Oryctolagus cuniculus: one gene and its partner. The protein of the gene in region 1 interacts with the protein of each later gene in a pairwise test. Links are inferred from orthologs where the notes say so. Each region holds a gene or a part of one and is shown on either strand. Other genes may lie near its edges.

Evidence for each region. The genes of interacting proteins can lie anywhere in the genome.
Region 2: the proteins of LNX1 (region 1) and MEMO1 interact in binary tests that used the Homo sapiens proteins (3 or more experiments, as listed by UniProt). The two-hybrid records come from large-scale screens. The link is inferred for Oryctolagus cuniculus from reciprocal best matches to the Homo sapiens genes LNX1 and MEMO1.

Annotation. Positions count from the first base shown.
Region 1 is NC_091439.1:110,427,183-110,437,567, forward strand, and holds the end of LNX1 (E3 ubiquitin-protein ligase LNX), read left to right. Parts: intron 1-6,018; coding exon 6,019-6,177; intron 6,178-6,554; coding exon 6,555-6,690; 3' UTR 6,691-7,120; downstream 7,121-10,385. Other genes in the region: FIP1L1 (pre-mRNA 3'-end-processing factor FIP1), read right to left, coding at 8,372-8,519, 9,229-9,366.
Region 2 is NC_091433.1:170,924,734-170,935,118, reverse strand, and holds part of MEMO1 (protein MEMO1), read right to left. Parts: intron 4,630-10,385; coding exon 4,487-4,629; intron 1-4,486. UniProt on the Homo sapiens protein: May control cell migration by relaying extracellular chemotactic signals to the microtubule cytoskeleton. Mediator of ERBB2 signaling.

The DNA of each region.
Region 1 (10,385 bases):
CATGAGTTTTAGCATAATTTTTTCTAGATCTGAGAAGCACATTGGTGATATTTGATTGGGATTGTATTGAATCTATAAGTTGCTTTTGGTGATATTCTTCTACTTCATGAACATGGAAGATTTTTCCATTTTTGTGTCTTTTATTTCTTTCTTTAATATTTGGTGATTCTCAGCATAGAGAACTTTCACCTCCTTGGTTAAATTTATTCTAAAATATTTAAATTCTTTGTAGCTGTTTTGAATGGGATTGACCTTAGAAGTTCTTTCTCAGCCATGGCATTGTCTGTATATACAAAGGCTACTGATTTTTGTGTGTGAATCTTATATTCTGCAACTTTGTCAAACTCTTTTATAAGAGTTCTAACATTCTCTTCGTGGGGTCTGTAGTTCCCCTATATAGACATGTCATCTGCAGACAATGAAAATTTTACTTCCTCCTTTCCCATTTGTATCCCTTTGATTCATTTTTCTTGCCTAATCGCTCTGGCTAAAACTTCCAGGACCGTATTGAATAGCAATAGTGAAAGTGAGCATCCTTGTCTGGTTCTGGATCTTAGTGGAAAGGCTTCCGAACTTCCCCCATTCAATATGATGCTGTCTTTGGGTTAGTCATAAATTGCCCTGATCATGTTGAGGAATGTTCCCTCTATACCCAATTTGCTTAAGGTTTTTATCACAAAAGATGCTGTATTTTATCAAATGCTTTTTCTGCATTAAGATAATCATATAGTTTTTATTCTTTGTTAATGTGATGTATCACATTGATTGATTTGCAAATGTTGAACCATCCTTGCTTACCAGGGTTAAATCCCACTTGGTCTGGGTGAATATTTTTGGTGTGTTGTTGGGTTTAATTAGCTAGTATTTTGTGGGGGATATTTGCATCTGTGTTCATCAGTGATATTGGTCTATAGTTCTCTTTCTTTCTTGTATCTTTTTCTGCTTTTGGAATTAGGGTGATGCTAGCCTCATACAAGTTTGGGAGGATTCCCTCCCTGTCAATTGTTCTGGATAGCTTAAGAATTACATTAGTTCTTCTTTAAAATCTGGTAGAATTCATCAGTAAAGCCATCTGGTCCTGGGCTTTTCTTTGTTGGGAGGGTCTCTATCACTGATTCAATCTCTTAGTTAATGATCTGTTTAGGTTTTCTATGTCTTCATGATTCAGTTTTGGTAGACTGTATACGTCCAGGAATCTATCCATTTCTTCTAGGTTTTCCAATTTGTTGGTATATAGCCATTTATAATAATTCCTGAGCATTCTTTTAATTTCTGTGGTATCCATTGTTACATCCTCATTTTCATCTCTGATTTTTTTTTGGGGTCTCTTAGTTGGGCCAATGGTGTATTCATTTGGTTTATTTTTTCAAAATGACAGCTCTTCATTTCACTGATCTATTGAAAATTTTTTTTGTTTCAATGTTTATTCTCTAATTTTATTTATTTTCTCCTACTAAATTTGGGTTTGATGTTGTCTTCCTAGGTCCTTGAGACTCATTGATAGCTAATTTATTTGATGCCTTTACAATTTCTTGATGTAGGCACCAATTGCTATAAACTTCTCTCAACACTGCTTTTGCTGTTTCCCATAAGTTCTGATATGTTGTATTGTCATCTTCATTGATTTCCAGGAATATTTTGATTTCCTTTTTATTTATTCTGTGAACCATTGTTCATTCAGGAGCATGTTGTTCAAGCTGCATGTGTTTGCATATTTTCTAGAGATTCTTAAGTTATTAATTTCCAGCTTCATTCCACTGTTATCAGAAAAGATGCATGGTATGATTTTGAGTTTTTGAATTTGCTATCACTTGCTTTATGGGCTAGCATGTGGTCTACCCTAGAGAAAGTTCCAGGCACTGATAAAAAGAATATGTATTCTTCAACTGTGCGAAGAAACATACTGTAGCTATCATTTAGATCCAGTTGGTACATAGTATAGATTAGCTCTGTTTTTCCTTTGTTGATTTTCTATCTAGTTGATCAGTCCATTGATTAAAGGGGGCTATTAAAGTCCCCCATTATTATTGGAGTCTATGTTTCCCTTTAGATCCATTAACATCTGTTTTAAATAGCCAAGTACTCTGGTATTGGGTGCACAGACATTATAGACACATATTCCCGTTGAACTGATCCCTTAATCATTACATAATGCCCTTGTCTCTTTTGATGATTTTTGTGTTAAAGTCCATTTTGTCTGATATTAGGATGGCTACCCCAGCTCTTTTTTGCTTTCCATCGGCATGGACTCTTTTTCCATCCTTTCACTTTCAGTCTGCATGTATCTTTGTTGGTGAAGTATGTTTCAGCCAGTCTGTATCCTTTTTTAAAAAAGTTATTTTTCAATTTATCAGTGATCTTTATTTTTTAAAAAGATTTATTTGAAAGTCAGAGGCAGAGACAGGGAGGGAGGGAGGGAGAAATCTTCCATCTACTGGTTCACTCCCAAATGGCCACAATGGCCAGAGCTGAGCTGATCTGAAGCCAGGAGACAGGAACTTCCTCCAGGTCTCCCACAAGAGTGCAGGGGCCCAGCACTTGGGCCATCTTCTACTGCTTTCCCAGGCCATAGCTGGGAGCTCAATCAAAAGTGGAGCAGCTGGGGCTCGAACCAGTGCCCATCTGGGATGCCAGCACTGCAGGCAGTGGCTTTACTTGCTACCCCAAAGTGGTGGCTCCAGGTCCCAATATTATATTAAAGACTTTATATGATGGGGCTGGCACTGTGGCACAGCGGGTACCCTTACAATCCAACTTCCTGCTATGGCCTGGGAAAGCAGTAGATGGCCCAGTTCCTTGGACCCCTGCACCTGTGTGGGAGACCTGGAAGAAGCTCCTGACTCCAGATCAGCTCAGCTCCAGCCACTGCAGCCAATTGGGGGGTGAACCAGCAGATGAAAGACCCCTCTCTCTCTCTCCCTCTCCTTCTCTCTCTGTGTAACTCTTTCAAATAAATAAATCTTTAAAATTAAAAAAAGACTATGACAAACCCATAGCAAACATTATACAATGGGGGAAAACTGGAAGTGTTTCCTAAGATCTAGAAAAGGCAAAGCTGTCTACTCTCTTATAGTACTGGAAGTTTTTCCCAGAGCAATTAGGTAAGGGAAAGAGGGCCTGCACATAGGAAGGGAGAAGTTGAATTATCTGTTTGCAGATGATATGATTCTACATGCAAAAAACCCTAGACTACCAAGACTATTAGAGTTCACAAATTCACTAAAGAAAAAATACACATAAAAAAACAGAACCAATAATGAACTTGCTAAGAAATTATACACACAGCCCCATTCACAGTAGCCACACACACACACCACAGAATGAATTTACCAGGACGTGAAAAACCTCTACAATGAAAATTATAAAGCACTAATTTTAGAAATTGAAAAAGGCACAAGAAAATAAAATAAAAAAAAAAACCTCCTTTGTTCATGGGTTGGAAAAAGTGTTTAAAATGTCGGTTATGCAAAGCAATTTTACAGATAAAATGCAATCCTCACTCTTGCAGTAGCACTCCTCATAGAAAAAAAACCCTATAATTCTCTCAGAAAAACAATAGACTGAAGAGCCAAGGCAAGCTTCAGCAGCAACACTGGAAGCATTACGATGCCTGATTTCAAGACAGATGACAGAGCTACAGGAACCAGAGAGCACGGTACTGGCGTGAGAACACACACACAAATGGGACAGAACAAACGACAGCCTCTGCTATTAATGGTGCTGGGACAACTGGATATCCACATGCAGAGAGCTGAAACTTGACACATGCACACAACCCACCTCTCAATCACTATAAAAATCAACTCAAAATGGACCAAAGAACTGAAAGTATTAAGTTACTGGAAGAAAACATGGTGAAAGTATTTCAAGACTACAATATAAGCAATGCTTTTGGAGGTAAAATTCCAAATGCTCGGGCAAAATTAAGGCAAAGACAGACAAGTGGGATTCCATCAAACGAGGAAGCTCTGCGCAGCAAAGGAAACAATCAGTGTTGTGAGGACACAACCGACAGAATGACAAAGAATATTTGCAAACTCTTCATCTGACAAAGGAGTAATATCCAGAATACGTAAGGAACAAAAAACTTAACAAAAAAAGTGCAATTTAAAAATAGGCAAAGGATCTAAAGACAGTTCTCAAAAAAGTAAACACAGATGGCCCACAAATAGAGGAAAAAGTGCATGGTCATTAGCAGGGAAATGCACATCCTAACAATGAGGTGTCGTATCGCCCCAGCTAGAACAGCTATGAATGCTAGCAGTATGCAGACGAGAGGGAACTGGGACACACTGCTGCAAACTCGCAATCTTCAAGCAGTGCAGGAGGCTCCAGCCATCTGGCTGCTGACATGTAGCTGAAGACAATGACATCGGCACGTGAGATACTGCACTCCCACGCTGACTGCAGCACTATTCACAACAGCAGACACGAATCAACCTCGCTGCCCAGAGACGGGTGAATGGTTTAGAAAATGCATGGTGTATGCACAATGGAGTATTATTCAGCCACAAAAAGGGGAAGTTGTGTCATCTGCAGAAAAACGCACAGAACCAGGGGCTACTAAGTGAAGTACCCCATGTCCTCCCCAACACGTAGAAGCTAAGCGGAGGAGTTGACCCGGATGTAAGGTCATGGTTCCGAGGCTGTGACCTGGGAAGGTCGGTGACAGGTAGCAGAACAGTGACGGAGGATGCAGTTCTGGTGTTGCTCAGGAGCACGACTGCAGGGACCAGGAACTACGAGGAAGGAGGCCCAGAGGGAGCAATGAGGGTATGTCACAAGGGTGACAAACAGGGACAGTTTCAGGTCCTACTCCATGAACCTGTTGTGTCTGCAGACTAGGAGCATGACCTGGGAAAGGCATCTTCTAATGACTTTCCAATCCCAGACGCTGGGCACAGGGTCTCCCACAGGGAATGTCATTGCCTTGGTGTCGGGGGCTAGGCACGGACCTGCTCCGTGCACAAGCACTCAGTAAGCTATTAAGTACAACATGGTATCTATCCCACACACCACGGCTTCTACAGGCTGAAGTCATCAACTGACATCAAAGTTTCTTGTGAAATAGCAGGTATTTGACAGTAAGTCGTTTTCTCATTTAATGACATTCATGTTTTTCAGCTATCGAATTATTATAAATGATATGTAGGACAACAGATACAAAGCACTACATTTTAAAGGTATTCATTAAACCTCAGAGGTGGTTTTACTTCAACTGAGTATTGGCAACGTCGTGAAAAAAGTCACATTACCCTGATTAGCAAGATCGGTAACAACTGTAACGAGCAACTTCACTTATTCACAAGAGACTTTTATTGGTTTTCAAAAAGCAATGTTATTTTAAGGTACAGTTTATAAACAGTAGTCATATCCTGATTTTTGCCAACATGAAAACGTGTTCCTCTCAGGAGTTCATGGACTACAGCACACATGTGGCAGACACAGGAGTCCTGGCGAGCAGGGAGCCAGTGACCAGGGAGAGTAGCAGAATGTGCCCAGCCTCCCTCCCTGGTTGGCTGAGGCCTCCACCCACCCACCCACCCACCCACCGCAGGGCTGTGCGCTCTCCTCCCATCCCTCCAGCAGCTGGTTTCTCAGCGTCTGCAGTTCCGCTTTCCTGAAGGTGCAATCCCACTCACATTCCGCCTGCACACTTCTCAGTCACCTACCAAACATGCAGAGCCCGATATGCACTAGAGCTTTCCGAAGGTCAAGTACACGCTAACAAAGTCATTCATTACACCTACATTTTCTTGATTTTAACGATTTGTTCGAAAGATTTCTGCCTTCATTAAAAATTTATACTCAGGTAAATAAAAATATGATGGTCATAATGTTTGCTGTAGCCAGCTGTAGCATAGAGGTTGCTGAGCTAGAAACACACTTGGGCGGGAGCTGTCCAGTGTTATTTAGCCTTAAGAAAATGCCAGCAGAAGGAATGGGATACAGGCACAATACTCCGTCTCCAGCCGTTACACTGAACTGTGCATATCCTCCAATTCTGTTCTATCCCAGGTACTTGTATCACTGCAAAGATGTCGCACTACGCAGAAACGCGGCAGGCAGCCTGGGCTTCTGCATCGTGGGAGGGTATGAAGAACACAGCGGAAACAAGCCTTTCTTTATCAAATCCGTGGTGGAAGGCACACCAGCGTACAACGATGGAAGGATCAGGTAATAAAGACAACTGCTGCACAGAGAGCTTACATTCAGGTCCTTTGCTTCAGACACACAATACTGGCCCCATCTGAAATAAGGGCTCTTCCTTTTGAGGGGAAGGGTGGGCAAGAAAATAAAACACTTGCACAGCATTTAACATAAAACACCCCGATGATCGATCGCACGTGCTCTCGGCCCTACACTGCAGGTCGCTCTACCTTGAGCACCCCTTTTAACACAAGCGGAATGACTAGCATGCTTAAAGAATCTAAGGGGGGGGGAGACCCTTAAGTAATCAAAACCAAACAAATCTAGCAGAAATGAGGCCACCAAAATCAATCTGCATAAACTTCAGCTAAGAAACCAAACATCCCTCCTGCTGCCTTGTTCAGGTGCGGTGACATTCTCCTCGCAGTCAACGGCAGGAGCACAGCAGGAATGACGCACGCCTGCTTGGCTCGAATGCTGAAGGAACTCAAAGGAAGAATCACCCTCACTCTGGTGTCCTGGCCTGGCACATTCTTGTAGCATCAATAACGGGTCAGAGAACATGACACACGGGCTAAGCTGGAACAATGTATTTATCTTGTCAATTTTTATAGTGAACGAAAACTTTGTGAAAATGTCAGAGAAGGCCTAATCTAATAAAGCCAATTGCACCTCAGAAAATAGGACTCTCAAAAAATAAAAACTACTACAGAATGGTCTGATCTAGGATGCAGCACTGCACTGTACTCCTTCATTTGTATTTTGTGCTCAATAAAACGCTCTCGAGCACCTGAAATGGTTTGTTAGGGCCCACCGAATTCAAATCATCAACTCAAATGCTGGTTCAGGCTGAGATCAGCAAAGGGTACGTTACGGGCATTTTTAATTTAAAGCAAGAGGATTTTGAAAAATGCATTCATTGCTAAAAACATTCAGCAAATGAGAAATAAATATTTTTCCACAAACCATAGCCGCCTTTTGTATGTGATGCTAATTCTAAGTTTCCTTCTGTCAGCACTATTTCAAAGAGCCGGCAATCTGCTCTTTCAAATACCAGGTCATCTGTTTATGTGACTGGAGAATCATCTCTGAGGGTTATCCCTGAAAGTGCTCACGGAATTATAAACTTGGGCTTTCATGGCTCAATAAGAATTGGCGTTCAGCTGTCCTCACAACGTAACTAGTAACTGTCAGGAACTGCACGTGCAGCTCCACCAATGAGCCTGGGAAAATGCACCAAGGAGGGCCACCCCAGCCGGCGTGAGGGGATCCAAGCTGGTCACAATGATCCGTGTTGGAACATGAGCCTGCTGGGAACCACACCAGAGCAAGTGGCTTCAGAGGCCACCCAAATGCCTTCCACCTGCGTAATTTACATATAAAACCGCCCATCCAGCTTCCCCATGAGCCCCAATCTAGCACAGTGAGATCCTGCCATCAAAAAGCCGGGGTGGGTGGCATTTAGCCTATTAGTGAAGACATCAGTTGGGACACACATGTCCCACAGTGGAGTACCTGGGTTCACTACCTGCCTCCTGCTCCTGGTTCCAACTTCCTGCTAACACTGGGAGGCAGCAGATGATGGCTCAACGGCTCAAGTAGTTGGGTTCCTGCTACCCCCATGGGAGACCTGAATCGAATTCCTGGTTCCCAGCTTCAGCTTGGTCCAGTCCAGGCTGTTGCAGGGATTAAATCAGCAGATGGGAGCTTGCTGTATCTGTCTCCCCCAACCCAAAAAACAAAAACCCAGACACAAAACAAAGCCGTGTAAAAGCAAACACGTGCATGAGTCGTTGACCGTGCGCAGCAGGAACAGGAATGCCACAGCAGTGAAGACAGACTCAAGAGGGGCCTCCTGATGCCTTCTGCAGTGCAGCCTCTGATGAGACTGCTGATTGCCAGGACGACCGTGGCCGAGGTGCGGCCTGACCTGTCTCGGACACTGTGCGTACCACAGGCACGGTGCTCCTGAACCCCTAACGTGATTCACTCGCAGTACTTCCCTAGATGTAAAGCACGGCTGCTATTCGATTTTTAAATACTACATGACAAGCATCTTTAACTTAACATGAAAAATCGACTTTTATTTTGGAAAAAAAGTTAACTTTTCATACTAACAGAACAAGATTAAAGGTGAATTTCTTAAACATTATCCAGAAAAATAACAAGATTTACAATATCTAGTTCCGGCACTGCTGCAGACACGAGGCCCCGCCCACGCCTACTCTGCGGGTGCCGCCTCGGTGCTCTCCTGCTCGGGGGCGGGCTCACTGCCGGCCTCCTTCCCTTCTTTGCTTCTTTTAGATTTTTTGTGTTTGTGCCTCCTGTGACTGTCTCCTTCTTCACTCTCATGGCGACGTCTACTGTTACTGAAAAACAAACAAACAAACAAAAAACAATGTACTGTTTAAAAACCCTTAAGTACACACTTTGTGATAAAAATCAGCCACTCTGATTCTCAACACAACACCTGGACTTCAAATAATCTAACCCATTCTTTTCTTGTCTCATAAAGACACGGAGGAACCACATCAGTTTGAATGTGACTCTGATGCAGAATCACATTCCAGGGCCACCTTACCAATACCACCTCAGAGTCCCAGCGCCGCGTTCTCTGTTGTACATGGCTAACTACAAACAGGGAACCGAAGCACTCCGTCAGCACAGAAGGCATTTTATATAAATAGGCCTTAGAATTTAGTGCTGGTTTTTTGTTGCTCATGTTGTTTTTGGAGACTGCAAGCCCCAAATTTTCTTTAACTGAACCAAACACTGCTATTTACTATTTACTACTAAAGACGGATTCATACGCCAAAATTTCCTCTCAATGAGATTATGTTGTAAGCAAATATCTCTCATACATGATTTTTTTCCTCCACATTACTTCTGGTTTTGGGACATTAAATGTAGTTTTGCTAGAGTTAAAATCTTTGTTGAAGCTTGCAAGGAACCACAGATTATTCTGAATCTTCCAAATAGAAACACATCCGTTCTATGGGCCATCTGTAAACATTTGCTCTCATGGCTAAAATCCAATCAGCTTCTCTCTCAGCCTCACGACTCGACTCAGGAGCAAACCTTCGAGAGGACTTGTGTCTGCTCTCCTCCTTCTCCCTGTGCCGTCTCTCTCTGTGCCGCTCCTCTTTCTCCCGACTCGCTCTGTGCCGCTCATACCCTCTCTCGGCATATTCTCTGTATCTGTATCGCTCTTCGTCACTGAAATTGGAATAGAAACAAGTTTCTTGACAACTGAACTGTAATTCTGAATAACTTCAAGCTTTCATAAAGATCCTGAAGTTCAAACCAGAAGCCTCCATATATCAGAACCTTGGAGAATAGATGGGAAATATTTCTTGAGTTAACAGTACACAAGGCTTGTTCCAAAATTAGTACTGGATAGAATATAAGAAAACAAAATATACAGTAAGAGCACATGATGTTAAATGACCAATTGTGTTCTGCGTTAGCACACTTGTCAGGGACAGAGCTTTTATATAACAATGCTTTTAAAAATGCTCTCGAGGGGAGGGCGCTGTGACGCAGCAAGCTGAGCCGTGACCTGCAATACCAGCATCCGCTCTACGTGCCAGTTTGTGTCCCGGCAGCTCCACGTCAGATCCGGCTCTCTGCTAATAACCTGGCAAAGCAGTGTAAGATGGCCCAAGTGCTAGGTCTCCCACGTGGGAGACCCAGCTCCAGGCTGCTGGCTTCAGCTTGGCCCAGGGCTTGCTGCTACAGCGACCTGGCAGTGAGCGCACCAGTGAATGAGATCTGTCTCTGCGTCTCCCTCTCACTCTTTCAAATAATTAAATAAATTTTAAAAAGAAAATTATTTTGAGAAACTCTCTGTGGGAGAGAAAAGGAAGCTGGAGTCAGGTGCTCTGATATGAGAATGTGGGCATCTTAAGCTCTAAGCTAAACGCCCACCCCTGCTTTGCTTTTTTATTTGTTTTTTAAAGACTTATTCATTTGAAAGGCAGGCTTAGAAAAAAAGAAACAGAAGAGAGATCTTGTATCCACTGGTTCACTCCCCAAAAAGCCAGGAGGTTCAACCAGGTCTCCTATGTGGGTGCAGGGACCCAAGCACTTGGGCCATCTTCCACTGCTTTCTCAGGTGCATAGCAGGGAGCCGGATCAGAAGTGGAGTAGCCAGGATTTGAACTGCTGCCCATATGGGATGTTGGAGATGCAGACAGCAGCTTAACTGGCTGTGCCACAATGCTACACCCCAAACC
Region 2 (10,385 bases), on another chromosome or scaffold:
CAGAAACTGAAATCCAGAGTTTCCTTGAGGAGCTCAAATTCTAGAAGATAATAGAATCTAGGTTCCTGTCTCTCCCTTAGCTTGTCTCACACTTACCCCCACCCTCTCCTTAACCCCCCCAAAAATCTAGAGAGTATTATAATCCTCCTAGTTTTATCTCTCAATTGTTCCTTTACCAGTCTAAATAAAAGCTACATAGGATCTGAAAGAAAAACATCTTTAAAGTAAAATACACTTTAAAATATCATTTTTACAATGGACACTAATAAATAAGATCAAGGGAAAATATGTCCGATTATCATAAAGAACTCCCTATTATTAGTTTTATACTTTATTTTTAAGAACCAATAACTAGAAATGAAAACTATAATCAATGCCAGTATCTAATTTTATGGAATAAAAACAAGGAAATTTTCATTGTGTATATCTGTGTAATCTGTCAAATTGCAATGTCATCAATTTAGTGATTTCTTTTTTAAATCATATATTTAGAAATGTGACATGTGTTAAGAGTCAAACGCATTGAATTTTTTAGTCTTTTTATTCTTAAGGAAGTGTATCCTTCCTGTGAAATTACTTGGGATTCATCCATTATAACTGGTTTTATATACTAAAAATCAATGCACACTGTCTAATTTAAAAGAAAGAAGGAGGGGCCGGCGCTGTGGCTTAGTGGGTAAAGCCGCCACCTGCAGTGCCAGCATCCCATATGGGTGCCATTGCAAGACTGGGCTGTTCCACTTCCAACCCAGCTCTCTGCTATTACCTGGGAGAGCAGTAGAAGATGGCCCAAGTGCTTGGGCCTCTGAACCCGCATGGGAGACCCTGATGAAGTTCCTGGCTCCTGGCTTCAGATCAGTGCATTTATGGCCATTGCAGCCATTTGGGGAGTGAACCAGTAGATAGAAGACTCTGCCTCTACCTCTCTGTAACTCTGCCTTTCAAATAAATAAATAAACCTTAAAAAAGAGAAGAGAAGAGAAGAGAAGAGAAGAGAAGAGAAGAGAAGAGAAGAGAAGAGAAGAGAAGAGAAGAGAAGAGAAGAGAAGAGAAGAGAAGAGAAGAGAAGAGGAGAGGAAGGAAAAAGTCACTGATCTTCAAAAGAAAACACCAAATTTTTGAGATGGTAATATAGCACTTTTTTTTTTTTTTTTTTTTTTTTTTTTTTTTTTTGACAGGCAGAGTGGACAGTGAGAGAGAGAGACAGAGAGAAAGGTCTTCCTTTTGCTGTTGGTTCACCTCCAATGGCTGCTGCGGCCAGCGCACTGCGCTGATCCAAAGCCAGGAGCCAGGTGCTTCTCCTGGTCTCCCATGGGGTGCAGGGCCCAAGGACTTGGGCCATCCTCCATTGCACTCCCGGGCCACAGCAGAGAGCTGGCCTGGAAGAGGGGCAACCAGAACAGAATCCGGCGCCCCGACCAGGACTAGAACCCGGTGTGCCGGTGCCGCAGGCGGGAAGGATTAGCCTATTGAGCCGTGGCGCCAGTCAATATAGCACTCTTTATTCATTCAGAAAGAACATCCAATGACACTACAATACAAATTTGAGAAACATGAGACCTAGGTAAAAAACAGCTTCACCTATAACTAGCCAATGATTCATTATTACTTCAACACATATACAAAAGAGAAAATAAACCTGAATTTACAAAAATGATAATTTCTAGGATTGTAAGGAGACTATCAATTTAATCAATCCACGTTACTCATACTTTACACTTACTCCCATACCTCCATCAAATTTGTCAGTGAGAAAGAAGTAGCACGGTGCTTTCCGTAACTGTGAGTATTGTTAATGATGGTGATACCAAAAAGTGAATACTTGGAAATGTTCTATAAGTAACAGGCCATTAAGTAACACTAAGTAACCACCAGGTTGTAGAAAAATTGAACTGAAACATAAATTTATTTTGGGGCAAAAGAAATTTAAAACCCATGTACTGAGGCCAGCATTGTGGCACACCAGGCTAAGCAGTTGCCTCTAATGCTTAACAGGCTACCTTACAGGGTGCCAGTTTAAGTCCTGGCTGCTCTACTTCTGATCCAGCTGTCTGCTGATGCTCCAAGGAAAGCAGCAGGATGGCCCAAGAGCCTGGGCCCAGGAGGAGACCTGGAAGAGGCTCTGGGATTCAGCCTGGCCTAGCCTCAGACACTGTGGCCATTTGGGGAGTAAACCAGCAGATGGAATATCGATCTCTCTCTATCTCTCTCTCTCTGTAACCTTGCCTTCAAATAAATAAATATTTTAAAAATGCAGTTTTTGTTCATAATGAACTTTTTAATGATCCTGCATAAGTATGTATTTCAAAATTTTCTACTCCAAAAAAGTAAACTTAACTTAATTACAGTTCTCTACAAACTTTTTGAAGTGCCCTTATATAAACAGATTTTAATCTATGAGTATTATATCATGTATCAACATTTGGAAATTTTGAGCTCTTTTCCTTAATTATCAAGTGGAAATCCTATCTTACAATTTAAATACTAAAATTTGCAAGAAATCTAAAGACAAAACAGCCTAAATAATTTTCTGAGGCTTTAGGTAGAATATAAAACAAAATCTTTATCTCTCAACCACTGTAGTTATATACAGTAGGTACTAGGGAACTGCTTACTTTAGACTTTTTAGTCAAATAAAAAGGACGATTCCACAGAAAATAACAATATTAAGGCACCTACAGTTGTTTTATGTGAATTTATGTTACAGTCAAAACATGTTGCCAACCTAGAGAAAGCACTCAGATTCTGAAGAACAATTATCAGAGGAAACAAATTACTTACATCAAATGATTCACAAGAGCCTTAAAAATTGAGGATGGGGCACTTGCTTAAAGAATTTTAATCTCCAAAAGACATGAACATGCTTTTTTGCCAACACAAATTCACAACACTAAGAAAACCAGCCCCTTTTTTCAGCAATGATATTCCTCAACTTTTAAAAACAACTACTATTAAATTTCAAAATTCTCCTGAATTCTCCAGAATCCAGAAATTCTTAGGAATCTCCCCAGCCTTCATATTTAAGTAATAGACTAGATAAAAAAATACTTTCTGCCAAAGGCAGCACATCAACTAACCAACAGAATTTGTTCTTAAGAAATCCTGAGAGCTCCTCTGGAGTTGAGGAAGGAAAAACAGCCACCTGCATATCCTAAATCTAGGTTTCCTGCCCTCAGCACTAATGACATTTTGGGCCAAGTAAGTCTTTGATGTTGAGGGTAGTCCTGTGCATTGCAGGATGTATAGTTAGCAGTTTCCCTAGACTCTAGTCTAGTTTCCCTAGACATCAGTAGTATTGCCACTTTCCAAATCCCATCCCTGCTGTGAAAATCAAAAGTGTCTTTGAAGTATTTTCATAAACTGCCTAGGAGGTGAATTAATCCTTTTTGAGGATCAGTACCTTACAAAAGCTTTACGTATATCATTACGGACTAAAGTCCTCTTGAACTGATATCTCAACACTAAGAAGCATTCAAAGGGAGAAGAAGGAAGAAGCTACCATAAAGTAGCCAGACAAATGTTGAAATCAATTCAGGCAATCAATGCGTAAAATACATTAAAAAAGGCAAGGCTCCCAATACTGAGGATGTTATTTTGGCCATCCTAGCATTCTATCTTGGAACTGATGGTCTGACGTCCTATGTTTCCTACAATAATCAAAGAAATAAGTGATGACTAAACAGATGTTGGCATCCTTGAACCAATGAACCAAGGAATAAACGGGTCAAAGAGGCGTCTTAAGAGGAACAGAACTCAGAAATATTCTAGGACATTAATAGATAAATGAGAGCAAAATTTATCCAAAGAAAGCTAAAATAAAATCTACTGACAAAGTCATCCAAAAATTTCTCACTTCCTTCTTGATTTATTCACTGTGAAGCGTCCTTACTCTCTCAATTCACAATAATCACAAAAATCACTTAAGAGTCCTTACCCTTATAAAGCATTACCAATGAAGACCACAGTGCTAATAGCCAACGTGTTACAATCTTTGGAGGGTAGCTCTAAACTGATGGCAATTGTGAGCAAAAAATAAGCACCGAAGGAAAAAAAGAAAGAAAGAAAGACTAATTACAAAAAAGGAAAAGCAGAAAAGGACTGGCATAGCACACAGTGCTCTTCTGCATTCTAAAGAAGAGCATTTGTTTCATCCACCAAAACTACCTTCAGAGGACCTACCACACATACCTACCTGAAAATGGGGTTAAAAGGTCTTAACTCCCACTAAGAACAGTTCTAAGCAAGGATACCCTCACAGTGTGAATCCAATTATACCAGTCGCCTTTGGAAATGTATCCATAATCCACTATTATAATCTGATCCTTTTTAATGATCAAAAGACTTTTTCATTCACTTCTAAACACTGCTGCTAAAAGTAAACTTTCCAAGGAAAGTGATAAAGACTGACAATCAGCGTTTAGAATGAAAAGATACCTTAAAGCACAAGTATATAATCTACCATGATACATTAAAGTCTAGAACTTACCCCAATGGCAGAAATCAGAAGAAACCACAAAGAGATTACTAGGATCCGCTAGATATTTACTGAAGAGTTTTCCGAATTCCTGTTCTTTTGACTCACTCAGAGCTCCAACCAGTACAGGAATAATGGTAAACTCATCCTTATGGCTTAAAGAAAACAGAAAAAAAAAAAAAAAAAAAAAGGCAAAACAGTCATTCTGGATGTTTAAGAATAGAAACAGCTTTGCAAAAATCTTAGCACTAGAAAGTGGAATATTTATTAATAGTGGTAAGAATAACATATATTACTGTTGAATTTTTTTAAAAAACTATAAATTAAATGTTTAAAGAACACAACTTTAAAATATGAGATGTACAGAATACTAAAAATACTGAAGAAAATTACAGAAATGTACACTATTTCTTTAGATAAAAAAAAGTTATGTGACTATCAAGTATAATAGTACCTTCAAAAATAAAAAGTCCATCAGACCATCACCAATTCAAGTCTCGTCAACTATCCACCAAACGCTACCATCATCTGCCCAATCCTTCCAGGATCTTAAAAGCATTAAAGTCTTCCTCATCTATTTTAATCCTTTCATCATAAATGCCAACATTTCTGGCATTTGTTCTGTAAGCCTGCCAAATGAAACCCACAAAACTTTACCTTTGCTTCAATAAGACTGACCAACTACACTTGTACACTTAGCCTAAGGATCAAGATATAACATAGGCTGAAGATATAACTCAAATGTCATTGAAATCTAGGATAGACAAAGAATTCAGGAAGTATTAATTTCTAGCAGCAAGGAAAAGACACCCTGGCCACCCACAATGTTTATAGCATAACCACAAGTCCTTTTTCACTCTAAATTGATAGATTTATGGAACAGGAACAAAGTGATTTAATAAAGAATAACTATGACATGTTATAGATACAGCCATATATCCAAAATCTTTTTCTTAAATTTTTATTTATGTGATACTAAACTTACATACCAAGGTACTTCAAAAACTTCGTGGAAATGGAATTAAAAGACAAGTTTATTTTGGTACAAAAAATTTTGAAATCTGTGCAATATATAGGGTCTTCAAAATGTTCAGGGAAAATGTGTAAGATAAAAAAATTACTCATGGATTTCAATTCCTTGGCACCAACATAAACTTATCTTTTAATACTATTTTTGCACAAACTTTTTTAGTACCCTCATATATTCAATATTATTAATAATCTAATGTTCCCAGATTTGCAATTTTAGAACATAATCATCTTTATCTTTTTCTGAACAGGACTTTAAAAACAAACAAAAAAAAAACCACCATTATAATAAATGCTTTTTAACATTATAATCTGGCACTTAACTAATGTAGGGCAAAGAGAATTCATAAAAGGGTTTTTTAAAATACTAAGTTTAAGTAATCCCAAAATAAATGTTAGCCCAGCTGCATAAAGCTAAAGTCAGGGCACCCAAGCGCCGCCCCCAAAAAAACCCCCTTACCCTTGTCAATTGCGAAATAAACAGATCATACAGATCTCCAGTCCCTCTGCAATGCAGGGGCTTCTTGGGCAGAATCTGCATCTATGGAGTAAGAAAAAAAAAGGAAGCTGGCAGAGGAAGCTGCCATGGGGATATCTTTTCTTCTGACTCTTACCAGTTTGCTAAAACTACCTAAATAAACAGGGGCTCCCGATTAACTGTGAGTATCAATGGAAAGAAAAGAATTTCAGCCCTTAGTAAAAATGCAGGAAGATTGTTTTGAATTAGTCTAACCTCAAGTACTACTATAAAAATAAACATTTATATCATCAAGATTCTACAAGTAATTATGATATGATAGAGAAACAATTATATGGAGTACAAAGAACAAAGAGAAGCCAGAAGAAACAGGTTAAAATATCATCCTCATACTAATGCTAACAGATGGTTAAGATCCTAACCTGAGAACTGATTTCTTTATCTGTAAAATGATCCTAATTACAGTATTTATGAAGGGGATCTTCAAAAAGTTCACCAAAAATATCATGAAACGATTATGGATGGATGGATTTCAAAAATTTTTGGAACAAAATAAATTTATCTTTTAATTCCATTTTTCCATGAATCTGGTACCTGCACATTTCAACATTATGAAACAAGGAAAATCATAGGAAAAGCACACTCAAAAACAGTTGGCTTATTCTGAAGAAACAACGCATCTACTCTCCAAAGAGCCACCAAATCTTTCAAATCATCTCAATTTGAGTTTGCAAATATACCTATTCAGAATTAAAAGTCTTACCCTTTGTGGGAACCTAACACTTGAACCAAGACTCATCCATCTAGCCCTCTGTCATCTCTTCAAGAAACAACAACAATAACAACAAAAAATGAGAGGCCGACACTGTGGCATAGTAGACTAAGCCTCCACCTGCAGTGCCAGCATCCCATTTGGGCTGGGGTTCATGTCCCAGCTCTTGCTCTTCCAATCCAGCTCTCTGCTTATGGCCTGGGAAACAGTGGAAGATGGCCCAAGTCCTTGGGCCCCTGCACCCACATGGGAGATCGGGCAGAAACTCCTGGCTCCTGGCTCCTGGCTTCAGATTAGCCTAGCTCCAGAGATTGCAGCCTTTTAAGGGGTGAACCAGAGGATGGAAGGCCTCTCTCTGTCTCTTCCTCTTTCTCTCTGTAACTCTACCTCTCAAATAAAAAAAAAAATCTTAAAAAAGTTGACAATATTTAAAACAAACAAACAAGAAAATCAGATCAGTTAACTATCCCTACAAGGAAGTATGGATTAGAGTAAAGAGCACTGGACTGTGAAAAATACTAATCCTAGGGTTTAAAATCCAAGTTCTCTATTTGGACTTCCACTGAGGGAGTACAAAATCTCAACCCCAGGGCAGGTGCTGTGGCACAACAGTTAAGTGGCTGCCTGGGGCACCTACATCCCATATCACAATGCCTCCACTTCTGATCCAGCTTCCTGGAGCCGGAGGCAGCAGGCAATGGCTCAAGTACTTGAGTTCCTGTAAATCATGTAGTAAACCCAGAGAGAGTTCCCAGTTCCTAACTTCAACCTGGCCCAGCCCTGTCTGTCACAGGTATTCAGGGAGTAAACCAACAGTTAGAAGTTATCTCTCCCTTTTTCCACTCCACCTTAAATAAATAAATAAATAAATAAGACTTTAAAAAGAAAGAATTAAAAGCCAAAGCCACAGTATTTGTTAGAGCTGCACGGATGACATTTCAAAAAAAAAAAAAAATCTTATCCTCAAAAAAAATTTGCGAAATTGGATAAAACCATCCAAAACAACCATTTCTATAGTCTGGAAACCAACCAAAGGCAAAAAAAAAAAAAAAACAAACAAACAACAAAAAAAAAACAACAACAAACCACTTTTAAGATGAGATTTTTAATGAAAAATAGCAAAACTTCTTTTTTTTTTTTTTTTTTTTTTTTTTTTGGACAGGCGTGGGGGGGGGGGTCTTCCTTCTCTGTTGGTTCACCCTCCCAAATGGCCGCTACAGCCGGCGAACGGAAGCCAGGAGCCAGGTGCTTCCTCCTGGTCTCCCATGTGGGTGCAGGGCCCCAGCACTTGGGCCATCCTCCACTGTACTTACTCCCAGGCCACAGCAGAGAGCTGGATTGGAAGAGGGGCAACAGGGACAGAATCCGGCGCCCCAACCGGGACTAGAACCCAGGGTACCTGCACCACAGGCGGAGGATTAGCCAAGTGAGCCGCAGTGCCAGCCAACAAAACTTCTTGATAAGAGCCATAGAAATCTCATATCCTGCCAGGAACTGCACCCATCCCCCACAACCCCAATTCCATTGACAAGGAAGTTCCATCACGGTGAGGTTGGCTGTGAAAACCAGCAGTTTCAAGGTCAAAGGGGACTACTCTGATGCCAAGCAGAGAAAAAAGTTCATACTCAATGGGAAACAAAAAAGCCTGCAGCCCTCTTAGCCTGTGATTGCTGTGCCAGCTGAGGTGGCAAACCTGAGGACTAGATAGAAATTTAACAGTCAGATTCTGCAAACAGGAGAGCCACATAGGGCCTTGATAATTCTGACAGATACTGAGGCAAGGTCCTATGCCTTCCACACAACTCTGGCTGAATACAAAGCCACACACATCTGCAAGAGAGACCTAAACTCGGCAAAATGCCAGCTATTTGGGGGGCTGAGAGTAGACACTGGAAACCTGATAGAGAGCAAGCTCTCCACATAAGCTTGGCTGAGAAAACCCATGTGTATACACAGGGGCACCTAAAACAATCCAATGGAAAGTAAAAGAGGTGAACATGAAAATGGACTGAATTTTGAATGTGCTCCTGAAGCATACAGAACCCCCAACAGAGGGTGAATGCCTTACTGGCTCAAAGGGTTGAGGTATAGCCTTCAAGAAGTCATTAGTTTGGGCCAGCGCTGTGGCGCAGCAGGTTAACACCCTGGCATGAAGTGCCAGCAACCCATATGGACACCGGTTCAAGACCCAGCTGCTCCACTTCCAATCCAGCTCTCTGCTATGGCCTGGGAAAGCAGCAGAAGATGGCCCAAGTCCCTGGGCCCTGCACCCATGTGGGAGACCCGGAGGAAGCTCCTTGCTCCTCATTTCGGATCAGTGCAGCTCTGGCCATTGCAGCCAATTGGGGAGTGAACCACCGGAGGGAAGACCTCTCTCTCTCTGTGTACTCTGACTTTTAAAATAAAAAAAAATAAAAATAAAAAAATAAAAAAAAAAGAAGTCGTTAGCTAAGCACTAACCTATGTAACAATAGTGTGAACCCTTGAAAGCTGAGTTCAAAACATAAAAATAAGAGGGGCAGATGTAGAAGCACAGTTGTAAAGCTACCACTTGGGAAACCCAAATCTCAATCAGGGTGCCTGGGTATGAGTTCTGGCTCCAACTTTCTGCTAATGTGTACCCTGGGAGGTAGCAGGTGATGGCCATTAAAAATAATCAAGTGATAATTTTAGAGTTGAAAAGTGCTATAACTAAAATAAAAAACTCACTAGATGGTCTAAAGCACAAATCTGATAAAAATCTGCAAAATTAAATTATCCAATCAGAAGAACAGAAAAATATTGAAAAACACAGAATCAGAGAATTGTAGCCAACACTGAGCATACTAGTATGACTGCAATAGAAGTCTCAGAAAGGGGACAGTAAAAATAGAAGAAACAGGAGCCCCAGCTGTTGTGTAACAGGATAAGCTACTGCCTGAAACACTGGCTTCAATTCCAGGATGCTCCACTTCCAATCCAGCTCCCTGATAATGTGCCTGGGAAAGTAGCAGAACACAGTCCAAGTGCTTGGGTCCCTACACCCACATGGGAGACCCGGAAGAAGCTTCTGGCTCTGGTTTGGTCCAGCCCAGCCCTGGCTGTTGCAGCCTTTTGGGGAGCAAAGCAGCATGTGGAAGATCAGTCTCTCTCTCTCTGGATATAACTCCACCTTTCAAATAAAATAAATTTTTTAAAAACAAAAAGAATTAGAAATAATTGCTCAAATATCTCATGAAAAACAATCTACAGTTCCAAGAAATTCAACAAACCCAAAGCAGTAAAATCACAAAGAGAACCATACCTAGATAAACTAATAAAACAGCTGATGATCGCAAACAAGAAGAAAAATATGGAAGGCAGTAAGAAGAAAATGACTCATTACATACAGGACAGTCTTTTCAGTAAATGATACTGGGCCAAATGAAACCCCGTATGTAAACAACAAAAAAAAGATGATGATGATGATGAAGAATGGAAACCTTTGCCTCATATCACAAGCGAAAATTAACTCAAACTGGATCCTAGAACTGTAGGATCTAAAACTGTTAACACTTCAAGAAAGAAGGTCAGCAAACACCATTTGAAAGGGTCTATAAAAGTAAGCATTTTAGCTTCTCCATTCAATACAGTCTCTGCAAACAATCATTCAA